3 linked regions of the Ovis aries genome follow. The protein of the gene in region 3 interacts with the protein of the main gene of each other region in a biochemical or structural test. Links are inferred from orthologs where the notes say so. Each region holds a gene or a part of one and is shown on either strand. Other genes may lie near its edges.

Evidence for each region.
Region 1: the proteins of NHERF2 (region 3) and SLC9A3 form a complex in vitro, tested with the Homo sapiens proteins (2 studies listed by BioGRID and IntAct, with this or other methods). The link is inferred for Ovis aries from reciprocal best matches to the Homo sapiens genes NHERF2 and SLC9A3.
Region 2: the proteins of NHERF2 (region 3) and RPS6KA1 interact in a test that uses a peptide from one of them, tested with the Homo sapiens proteins (2 studies listed by BioGRID and IntAct). The link is inferred for Ovis aries from reciprocal best matches to the Homo sapiens genes NHERF2 and RPS6KA1.

The regions. Positions count from the first base shown.
Region 1 is NC_056069.1:71,683,419-71,687,058, forward strand, and holds part of SLC9A3 (sodium/hydrogen exchanger 3), read left to right. Parts: coding exon 1-94; intron 95-1,121; coding exon 1,122-1,237; intron 1,238-1,664; coding exon 1,665-1,794; intron 1,795-1,976; coding exon 1,977-2,153; intron 2,154-2,280; coding exon 2,281-2,353; intron 2,354-2,803; coding exon 2,804-2,914; intron 2,915-3,198; coding exon 3,199-3,442; coding exon of another isoform or gene 3,443-3,446; intron 3,447-3,610; exon of another isoform or gene 3,611-3,640. UniProt on the Homo sapiens protein: Plasma membrane Na(+)/H(+) antiporter. Exchanges intracellular H(+) ions for extracellular Na(+) in 1:1 stoichiometry, playing a key role in salt and fluid absorption and pH homeostasis.
Region 2 is NC_056055.1:240,316,084-240,319,723, reverse strand, and holds part of RPS6KA1 (ribosomal protein S6 kinase alpha-1), read left to right. Parts: intron 1-643; coding exon 644-750; intron 751-1,720; coding exon 1,721-1,758; intron 1,759-2,097; coding exon 2,098-2,240; intron 2,241-2,655; coding exon 2,656-2,726; intron 2,727-3,039; coding exon 3,040-3,128; intron 3,129-3,640. UniProt on the Homo sapiens protein: Serine/threonine-protein kinase that acts downstream of ERK (MAPK1/ERK2 and MAPK3/ERK1) signaling and mediates mitogenic and stress-induced activation of the transcription factors CREB1, ETV1/ER81 and NR4A1/NUR77, regulates translation through RPS6 and EIF4B phosphorylation, and mediates cellular proliferation, survival, and differentiation by modulating mTOR signaling and repressing pro-apoptotic function of BAD and DAPK1.
Region 3 is NC_056077.1:2,098,216-2,102,299, reverse strand, and holds the start of NHERF2 (Na(+)/H(+) exchange regulatory cofactor NHE-RF2), read right to left. Parts: upstream 2,908-4,084; 5' UTR 2,767-2,907; coding exon 2,554-2,766; intron 241-2,553; coding exon 40-240; intron 1-39.

The sequences.
Region 1 (3,640 bases), on a different chromosome or scaffold from region 3:
CCTCATGAGAAGGTCAGCTCAGAAGTCTCGAGATCGGATTCTGAACGTTTTCCACGAGCTCAATTTGAAGGATGCCATCAGCTATGTGGCCGAGGTACTGGCCGTCTCATCTGCTCTTTTGTAGGAGTGTCGGGGGAGGGCAGGAAGAGGTGAGACAGACCCGTGTGTGGACAGTGCTGGGGTCTGCACCCTGAGGCCCGGGCAGGGGTGGGGCAGCTGGTGAGCGACACACAGTCTTCTTGTTGCCCCAGCCGCAGTTCACCTGAGCTCAAGGGCCCTCAGGCACCCTGAAAGTGGGGTTCACCACAGCTCCCGCTCTGCGGTGCTGGGTCTGAGGTCACAGACCCCAGTGAGCACAAGCTCCAGGCTCCAGCCGGGGCGAGGCCATGGGCGCAAGGCCTGTCTTCTGCACCTCCAACCAGCTGAGGAAATTCAGAGCAGGAATCCCGGCCCCTCTGACCGTGAGCCTTTGAGGCCTCGCTGCCTCCCTGGGGCTGGGAAGGTGGGTGGTGACCCCTGCTGGCTGCATCCTCTCCTGGGGACCCTCTATGGCCCCCAGTTCCCACTGGTGACAGGCTCCCAGCAGGGCACCAGCCTCCCTTCCCCCCTGCCGCCTGCCACCTTGGTGCCTATGATGCAGGCCTGTGGGCTCCTCTGCACCGCGGTTGTGCCCGTGAACAACGCCCACAGCACCAGCTTTGCCATAGCAGGTTGGCCCTCAGCTGGCTGCCCTCCCCAGCTCCACCCTCTCCCTGGAGGGCCAGTTGCTCTCCTAGGGCACCTCACTCGGCAGTGTGACCTCCATGCCTGTGCACTCTGCTCTGCCTGGTTTTCGCCTGACTCTGGAGGCTGGGGTTTCTCTTCTGGGGAAAACTAGGGCAGCTGGTTTGGAGCCCCCGTGGGGACAGGGCCTCTTCCCCCATCCCGTGGGGATTCCCCACGCTCCCTGAGGCACCAAGTCCTTTGCACAAGCCTCCGTGAGCCTCCCAGCTCCAGCGGGGCCTCCACCGTGGTTTCTGGGGTCTTGGCTTTCCCAGGTGCCTCGGGGTCAGTGCACAGCACCCCAGGGTGGGGCTCCCTGGGGCCAGGCCAGTGACTGACAAGGCCACCTCCTCTCGCAGGGAGAGCGCCGTGGGTCCCTGGCTTTCATCCGTTCTCCCAGCACGGACAACATGGTCAACGTGGACTTCAGCACCCCACGCCCCTCCACTGTGGAGGCCTCTGTCTCCTACCTCCTGTAGGTCCCCAGAGCTGCTGTGGGCCAAGCTCTCTCCAGGCTCCCCGACCAAACCACAGGCATGACCAGCGGGCCTCTTGGGGCTGCCCACATGGGAAACAGGCAGAGGCGGTGGCGTCTGTCACCTGTCGTGTCAGTCGGCTGGCTGGAGTGCGGCAGTGAGCCAGGGCCCAGCAGCCCGCTTAAGGAGCGCCCCCTCCCCACCACCAAAGACAGGGTGCTGGTCACAGATTCCAGGCCTCCAGCCTCTGCCCTGTCAGTGCAGGGCGGTTCTGGGTATCACTGCTGGCGCTTTGGAGGGGCAGGTGCACTGCGGGGTCAGTCTTAAACCGGAGGCAGAGAAGGTCTCATCGGGATGACCCCAGGCCCCAGGGGTGCAGGCGGGAGGGCAGGTGGTGTGCCCACTTGCTCACCAAGGCCCTCGCAGGAGGGAGAACGTGAGTGCCGTGCGCCTGGACATGCAGTCCCTGGAGCAGCGGCGGCAGAGCATCCGGGATGCGGAGGACATGATCACCCACCACACGCTGCAGCAGTACCTGTACAAGCCCCGGCAGGAGGTGGGTGCGCCCTCCAGAGCCAGCGCCCTGCCCGTCCTGCCCCAGGGCAAAGCATGGCCCTACTTAGTGCAGGTCGCTCCTGGGGGGGGGGGGCGGGGCGCAGCCCAGGCCCTGCGGACACGACCAGCTAACCCTAACCACCCCTCCCATCCCCACCCCACCCCCCTGCCTCCCCGCCACAGTACAAACATCTCTACAGCCGACATGGGCTGACCGCGGATGAGGACGAGAAGCAGGACACCGAGATCTTCCACAGGACCATGCGGAAGCGCCTGGAGTCCTTCAAGTCCGCCAAGCTGGGGATCAACCCCCACAAGAAGGCCGCTAAGCTGCTCAAGAGGGAGCGCGCCCAGAAGCGGGTGAGAGGGCACACTTGGGCAGGCACCACCGAGGGGGCACCCTGGTGGCAGGGCAGAGGCCTCCCTGGGGTGGACAAGCAGATCAGGCAGGACCCAGAGCTGTGAGCGGTTTCCTTCTGCTCCTCAGAGAAACAGCAGCATTCCCAACGGGAAACTGCCGATGGTGAGCTCCCTGCAGGACTTCACCATCAAGGAGAAAGGTAGGCTGGGCTATGGCTGGACGCTGGTCCGCAGGAGCTGAGGGGCACCTGAGGGCAGCCGGGTGCAGATGGCTGTCTTTCCAGGAAGCCGGTGCCCTGGGCACCAGGGCCCTCCTCACAGGCTGCAGCCACTGTGGGGGCAGGGCTGCGACCTGGGCTTCCCATCCCCTTCCTCTGTGGCCCGCCCCCTTCTCCAGTTGCCACCCCCCCTCCTCGAGAAGACCGAGTGTGGTCCTCTCTGCCCAGCCCTATCCTGGTGTGGCCAGGTGGGCACCACGGTCCACTGAGCTGCCCAGAGGCCGCTAAGTGGGGGCGGCAGACACGAGGACCCTGGGCGCGGCGGGGGTTGGGGGCGGCGGTGAGCGGGTCCGGGGCGGTTGGTCAAGGGCTCAGACGAGGTCATCTGCGCTTCCAGCCTGTCCCCTTACGCTGTCCCTTCCCTGTCACCAGATTTGGAACTCTCAGACACTGAGGAAGCCCCCAACTATGATGATGAGATGAGTGGCGGGATCGAGTTCCTGGCAAACATCGGGCAGGACACAGCGACAGACTCCCCCTCAGGTGAGGGGGCACGGCCCTGCGCTACCCGCAGGCGATCCCTGGCGGGAGGCCCAGGCGGTGGAGCGCGGTTCACGCGGCCGCGCAAGCGCGGGCACGGGCAGAGGCCTCCGCTCTGAGAGAGGAGAGCGAGAGCCGGCGCAGGGCCCGACCCCCAGAGGCCCGAGACCTTCCAGGTGACCTTCCGTGTGGCCGAGGCCGAGCTGCTGTCTGACCCAGGGCCGCTGCCTCCCTCTCTGCCCTTCCGGGGAGCGAGGGAAGCTGACGACCGCCGCCCTCTCTCCTAGGAATTGACAACCCCGCGTTTTCCCTGGAGGAGAGCCCCGGCATCCTCTCTGGGGTGCCGCCCTGGCTGTGTCCCGGGGAGGCGGTGGTGCCCTCCCAGAGGGCCCGCCTGCAGATCCCCCACTCCCCCGGCAACTTCCACCGCCTGGCGCCCTTCCGCCTCAGCGGCAAGTCCGTGGACTCGTTCCTGCTGGCCGACGGCCCCGAGGAGCAGCCGCACGCCGCCCCGCCCGAGTCCACACACATGTAACTGGCCCGCGGCCCCCGCGCCGGCCCCCGCTCCTCTCAGCGCCGCCTCAGCCCCGCGCGTCGCGCTCTCTCCGCCGCCGCCTCCCCCTGCTCTCACCAGCCTCAGCCTCTCTTCCAGCCGCGCTTCTTTCTCCAGGCCCTTCTGATTTCCTGCTTCTCCCGCGAGCGGGGGCGGGGCGTCCCCGCGGAGTGAGG
Region 2 (3,640 bases), on a different chromosome or scaffold from region 3:
TGATCTGAATCCTGACCCCTACTTTCTTACATGCAGGATACTGTTCTATATATACTGTACTTTGCTTTCTTCATGGCAGGGTGTTTTGGAGTGACTTGGCGCCTCTATCTTGGCGATGGATCTGTAGCCATCCACCGTATGGAGGGATCCTCGTTCTAGTTTATGGTTGCATTGTTGTTTAGTTGCCAAGTCGTGTCTGACTCTTTGCGACCCCATGGACTGTAGCCTGCCATGGTCCTCTGTCCATGGGAATTTCTAGGCAAGAATACTGGAGTGGGTTGCCATGCCCTCCTCCAGGGGATCTTCCCGACCCAGATGCTGAACCCATGTCTCCTGCTTGGCAGGCGGATTCTTCATCACTGAACCACCTGGGAACCCCGCATGGCTGGCATAGCACTCCGTTATGTGGGAAGGAGACAGTTCAGTTTACTGCTTGACCCTTGAGCTGTCTCCAGCCTTTCCCTATGTGCCTTTCAACGCTACCGTGAGCGACTTGCATATTAGTCAGTTCATTCTTCAAACCCCTTCATAAAGAGAAGGGGTATGGAATCTCTTAGGAGGACGGGGAAGCTGCTGACTGCCCAGTGCCCCAGCTCCTGAGAAAGGGGTGATCCCGGCTGAAGCCCCCTCCCGCCTGTTGCAGGTTATGTTCACGGAGGAGGATGTGAAGTTTTACCTGGCCGAGCTGGCTTTGGGCCTGGACCACCTGCACAGTCTAGGCATCATTTACAGAGACCTGAAGCCTGAGAAGTGAGTGAAGGCCCAGCTCTGCCCAGCTCCCTAGGGTGTGCAGAGGCAGGCCCCAGGAGCCTCTTCTAGAGCACAGCCAGTCTGAGGGGGTTGGGGGGGACTCCCCCTGAGAAAGTCCCCCTCTCTTGGGTTGCCCCCAGAACGGGTGGGTGGAGCAGAGTGGTGGTGGCAGGCTCGCCTGGGGGGCTGCCTCATCACTAGGGCTGCCATCACCAAGCACCAGGTACCTCTGTGCCTGGGTATTGCCTATCTTTTTTGCTAATCCAGTATGACATCTGAGATGCCACCGTTAAAGGCCCTTCCTTGATATGACCCTCTGTAGAATTTTCCTTAACATCTAAATATCCTCAAGTGGTAACTTGGGAGCCAGGGGCAGGTGCTTATGTGGAGTGAGATGTGGCTTTAGAGTCAGGCAGAAAGTGAAAAGTGAAAGTGTTAAGTCACTCAGTTATGTCCAACTCTTTGCAACCACTTGGACTGTAGCCCACCAGATTCTTCTGTCCGTGGAATGCTCCAGCCAAGATCATTGGAGTAGGTAGCCAGTCCTTTTTCCAGGGGATATTCCTGACCCAGGGATTGAACTTGGGTCTCCTGCATTGCAGGCAGATTCTTTACCATCTGAGCCACCGGGGAAGCACAGAGTCAGGCAGACCTGAATTCAAATCTAATCTCTGCCACCTCCTAACTCTCTGACTAGGGGAGTTATTTAACCTCCCTGGGCCTTAACTTCCCCATCATTAAAATGGGGCCATGTAAGTACCTACCTCACACAGTTGTTTCAAGAATTAGCGGAAAGGTAGGCAACACTCCTGTGCGGCACCGCCGGTCCCTGCGCCACCCACCCGTTCATCAGCCGGACCTGGTGGGCCAGCTTCCCTGGGCTGAGCCCAGCCCCTACAGACCTGTGACGTCACCTGACCCCACAAAAGGCCCACGACTGAGGGGCCCTGACCCCCTCTCTCCATTGCAGCATCCTTCTGGATGAGGAAGGCCACATCAAACTCACTGGTGAGTGGAGGGCACCTGCCCCTCCGGTTTCAGGGGAGGGCAGGATGGGCTCTAGATGGACCTGGGCTGAGGGCTAGGGTATCTGCTTATCCTGAGAGGCTGTGCCAGGCACTTAGAAGTGGTCAAAAGTCCAGGCCTGGCATGACCTGGGTTTGAATCCCAGGTCCCCACTGTGTAATGCTGAGCAGACCATCTCACCCCCCTGGGCCTCGGCTTCCTCCTGTGTACCATAGCGGTGATGCCCTCAGGCCTCTGGGCAGGGGGGCATGGGTGTGCAGGGGTGGCAGCGAGGAAGGCAGGGGGTCCTGAAGGTGTGTCCGCTTGTGCTTCTTGCCACAGACTTCGGTTTGAGCAAGGAAGCCATCGACCATGAGAAGAAGGCCTATTCCTTCTGCGGGACGGTGGAGTACATGGCCCCCGAGGTCGTCAACCGGCAGGGCCATTCCCACAGTGCAGACTGGTGGTCCTATGGGGTGTTGATGGTGAGTGCCCAGGCAGTGGTAGAGCACCCAGCATCCAGCCCAGGCACTGGGGCTCAGTTTCCCCACCTGTGGGGCACAGGGTCAGGGGAGGGTGGCTGCTGGTCTCTGAGGCTCTTCTCTTGTCCTCTCATAGCTAAGCTGGCCTCACACTCCTCCGAGCTGCAGTTTCCTTCCTTGGAAGGATTCCGGGCTTGGCCCCACCTGGGGTGCCCCCTGCCCCATACTGGGCCTCTCCCCAGCCTCAGGCCCCTAGTTCTGCTCCTGGTGGTCTGATTGATGGAGAGGGGAGGGACACACACAGTTCTTGATCCAGGTGGACCTCCTGGGCGGGGGGCTGAGCGGCTGGCCCGGGTGGGAGGAGGTGGGGGGCCTGAGGGGCGGGACCAGAGCCTGAACGGATCCTTGTTCCCTGCAGTTTGAGATGTTGACGGGCTCCCTGCCCTTCCAGGGGAAGGACCGGAAGGAGACTATGACTCTGATTCTGAAGTAAGCTCCAGCCTCTCTGACACCTCCAGGTGTCTCCTCTTCTTGGCCTAGTTTGGGGGCCAGACTAACACCCCGCACCTATCCTCACATCCTCCAAGAGCGAGACACTCCGCTGGTTTGAGTGCCGCGCTTTTGCTAGGGCCCCCTGTTCACCCACAGGGGCCTGTGGGTAGAGAATCCTGAGTCTCTGGGAGGGAAGTTAGTGGACGGCTTGTCTGGACTGAGCTGGAAATGAGACGTGGACAGAGGCGGGAGGTAAGACGGGGCCTCCGGGGCGGAGCTCAACCCTGACGAGACCCGGGGGCCATTGCAGGGCGAAGCTAGGCATGCCCCAGTTTCTAAGCACGGAAGCCCAGAGCCTCCTGCGGGCTCTGTTCAAGCGGAATCCTGCCAACCGGCTTGGTAAGTAGCCCCAGCCCAGGGGAGGGGAGCGGGTACAGCTGTGGCCTAGGCCACGGGGCCACATCTGGGGCTGAAAGGAGCCGTTGTCCTTTGTGTGGGCAGACAATGCCGGCGGCCACCCTGCCTTCTGGCCCCATGTGTGGAGTGTGGGGCGGGGGGGTGACCTGTGTCTGGGGGAAAGCAGGAACTGAGTCATCTCCACTCCCCCTGGGGATGAGGACAGAGGCCGGCACGGCTCCTCCGCCAAGGCTGCTGGCTCAGAAGAAGGGGCACGAGTTCAGGCGCCAGGGGCTCGGGACCCCACTGCTGGCACGCGGTGGTCCCTCCACAGATACTGTGGTCGGATGAGTGCTGTTTGTGAGCAGAGTGACCCAAAGCAGTTGACATGTCCCCCCGGAGCCTGAGGTCCTTGTCTCCACCAGGGACAATGGTCTCAAGCTTCGCGGATTAAATGAAGTCACATGAATGTGCCTGTAGTAGCTGCTCAGTATGTGTTGGCTCTTTGGCTCCCG
Region 3 (4,084 bases):
TGAGGCCAGGATCGTCGCTGTGAGCAGAGCCCACTGTACCTCCTGGGTGGCCTCGGAGCTGAGGCTGCCCGCTCGTGCCCAGTCTGGCTTCGGCTCCCAGGGGTCATGGGCTGGCGGCAGCCCTCGCCGGGCCATCTCCTCGGTGCAGGTCAGCTGCCGCCGGCGGAGCTCCTCGTCTGTCTCCTTGTCCACCACCAGCAGGCGCGTCTGCCCCTCCACGGCCTTGATCCTCTGCACCACCTGGGGTAGGCGAGTGTGGGACCGAGTCACAGCCGGCACTCCAGGCAGCACAGGGCAGCGGCCCCACCCCGGGCTGGCCCAGGGCGGCAGGCAGGCCACGAGCCCAGGCAGCGGTGGGCGGCTGGACTGAGAGGCCCGCTGGCCCCACCCCCCACCCCCGGCTCCAGCAGCTGCCTCCCTTTTCTCCCGGGGCTGCAGGCACCAGGGCCCAGGCTGCAAGGGCCTGGGAAGTGACAATGACCGTGTTCGGCTGGGCTTCAGGTTTTCAGTCTGCGGGTATGTGCCTGTGTATGGCCTGCAGCCTGCAGCCTTCTAGTTCAAGGTGTCTCTAGGTCTGGGTTTGAAGGGGAGAAGTGACTCCCTGGGTCCCAGGCTCGGGGTCTCTGTGCCTATCTCTGTCTTTCCAGGAGTGGAACACGGTCTAAACTTCTGCCTCTAGGCCTTCTGTTCTCTTCCAGACCACGACCTTGAACTTATTCCTGCTAGAGCAGCGGGGAGACCACCTGCGGTCCTGTGGCAAGGCGCCTACTCAGGTGCACACCCACAACCCAGAAAGCGGGATTCAGAGGCCGTAGGCAGAGGTGGGCAGGGGTAGGTGTCGTTACGCAGTGTCTGTGACGTGTCTAGAGCACGTGCAAGACCATACCTGCCAGTGTGTGCCTGCAGGAGGGCAGTGCCCACTGGGCATTGGTTTAGGGAGGGCAACACCCAACCCCTCCCCAAGGCCTCGGGAAGGACCGGTGGGGCCCAGTAGATGCTATCAAAAGAGGAGGGTCTGAACCGGGCCCATCTTTGCCCCAGCCCTCCTCTACACCTGTCTCTCCCCATCACTCCCAGAGTCACAGGAACCCTGGACCCCGATGCTTCCTGACTGTGGGACACAGACGAGTCACCCAGTATCTCCAAGGATCAGTTTTCTCATCTGTAAAATGGGAACTGGAACTGTACCTTCTCCCTGCCCAGACAGTAGGAAGGTCTCACAGGGTCCTGTGTCTGAGGTTCCTAGAGACCAGCACCCCAGGAGGCCTGGGACAAGCAAGCTTCACTCTTGGGGCAAAGGTGGCGACAATGATTAAACAGAGGCCAGGCCCTCCCCATGGCCTGTCCATCCAAGCTCTCAGCCCTGACCCTCACCCTCCTTCAGCAAACAGTCCATCCAGCTGACACTCTGAGTAGACGACAGAAAGACAGCTGACAAGGGGAAACACAAAACCTCCAAGGATATAAGCAAAGGGCAGCCCCCAGCCCAACCAGGAGCCAGTTTATGACTCTCAAGGCCCAGGGCTGGTCCTGCAAAAGGTGGGGTGAGGGACACAGAGGACCCTAAGTAGAAGGGGTGAAGAAGACTGGTCTTGAGCCATGTGAGTCACTGGACACCCCCTGGGGGTTAGAACCTGCAGAGAACCTCCTTCTGGCCTTTATCTTCCGCTGCAAGAGGCAGGGGCTGCGACCTGCGATCCCAGCCAGGCCGCCCAGCAGCCTCTGAGGACAGGAATGTGTTGCCACCAGCGGCAACTCCCACCAGGATCCAGACACCCTGGGCCAGAACACACACTAGTACACCAGGCTGCAGACACACACAGAAGAATACACACAGCCCGGCCGGCAGACACACAGCTGGGACACGTATACACGCAGCCACACACAGGAGGATACACACACACACACCCCCCAGTTCACACACCTCCAGGAAGGCAGACCTGGACACACACACGCACACATCTAGGGGTGCAAACCTATATAATCATATGCACACAGTCCAGCACACACACTCACTCAACTGATGCGCCCACACACAGGTGTGCCCTCGCTGTGAAATCCGCGGCAGGTGCACTCGAGGGCCCTGCGTTCACACACATTCACACACGCACATATATACACGCTGGGTGAAAAGCACCGGGGTCCCAGGCTCACGGAGACCCCCGAGGTGCCAGCTCCTCCACACACTGCCCTGCGCCGGAACAAGACCAAGAGCGAAGAGCCAGGACTGAGACCCGCAGGAGCCGCAGTGCGGGCCCCTCCCTTGCCAGGATCCACCCCCCTCGGTGCAGGACCGACCCGGGTGGAGGAGGCGCGGAAGGAGGCCGGCCGCCGCGGCCTCGGGGGCCACGTCCCCCGCCTCTCCACGGGAGCCCACAGAGGCCCTTGTGCGATCCCCTCCTGCCTCGGAGAAGGGACGGAGGCCTGGGCGCAGGCAGCACCGAGCCCGGTGGTCACCGGCGCGCGGGGCAGGGACGCGCGCTGGGGCTGCGGGGTGGGGGTGCGCGGCGGGTCTGCGGGCCGGCGGGCCGGTGGCGGAGCGCAGACACCCACCTGGTGGTGCGTCTCGCCCTCCACGTTGACGCCGTTGACCTCGACCAGCCGGTCTCCGGCGCGCAGCGCGGCCGCCTCGGCGGGGGAACCGGGCTCCACGCGCCGGATGAACTGCCCGCGGCGGCCCTTCTCCCCGTGCAGGTGGAAGCCGTAGCCGTGCTCGCCGCGCACCAGGCGACACAGGCGCGGCCGCAGGGGCTCTGGTGCGGCCATGGCGCCCGCTGCCCACCGGCCGGCCAAGGGCTGGCCACGGCGCTCACGCCCGTCGCAGGGCGGGCAGGGGCGCTGGGGCGGCGCGGAGGCGGCGGCGTCGCTGAGGACCCGGTGGCGGCCTCGGAGGCTCCAGCTCGGCTCGGCTCCCGTCGCCTCCGGTTCGGGCTCGGGCTCTGGCTGCGGCACCGCCCCCGCGCCCGCCCCTTCTCCGCCCCCTCCGCCCTGCCGCCCCCGCCCCGGGTCCAAGCCACCCTGGCCATTCCCCTGCCTCGGGCCACGCCAGCCCAGGGAGGCCGGGAGGAAGACTGCAGGGCCAGGGGACCCCCCGAATCACCACGACCCCTATATCTAGCCCCCATTCTGGGCAGCATCCTATCCCAGTAACACTGGGTGAGTGCTGACTTTGCGACCCGGTGGACTGTAGTCCGCCAGGCTTCTCTGTCCATGGGATTCCCTAGGCAAGAATACTGGAGTGAATTGCCATTTCCTTCTCCAGGGGATCTTCCCAACCCAGGAATCGAACCCGTATCTCACGTCTGCTGCATTGGCAGGTGGGTTCTTTACCACTAGTACCACGCGCCTACTAAATGAACAGCACAGGAATGGAGGCAGGCCCCTGAGGTGGGAGGAGGGGCTGAGAAAGGGTCCTTAGGCTGAAGGACCCCCACCCAGGGGCCACAGGGCCATGGCTCTGCCCACCCTCCTCGGGAAGCCCCCTCCCCTCTCCCATGCCCCGTTCCTCTATCAGGATCCCTCCTGTACCCAGCACCAAGTGCCTGGATGGTCCTGGAGGCAAAAAGAGGGGATTGAAACTGACCAGGCAGCGGCCCCTCCCTATATCCTGGAGGCCAGGCTGAGTGACTTCATGGCCCTCTCCAGGAGTGTCTGTGCCTCTCTGTGCTGTGCTGGACCAGTAAACATTCCCCCTACTAGCCCCTCCCTCTAGCAGGACCCGCACTCCTGTCCCTGCCCACCCCCCGCCCGGTGGGTGACTGCAGAGGGTGAGGGAATGAATGCACTTGTCTGGCTGGAAGGAAGGGGTCTTTGCCCCTCCTCTCGACCTGGGATGAAATGCACTGACGGCTTGGGTGCCAGCTAGACCCTCCTGCCCCCAAGCCCGTCCTCCCCTCCCCTCCCTCCACCTCCTCCAAAATGAATGCCCCCTTCTCCCAACCGATGGACAGCTGCTTATTCTTCGTGCATCTCTCTGAGTACATGCTACCCGGAACAACCCTTGAGGGCTCAGGCCATTTTACAGGAAACAGGTCTGGAGAAGGAAGAGACCCATACAGGATTCAGGGGTGGGGGGTGTGATTCC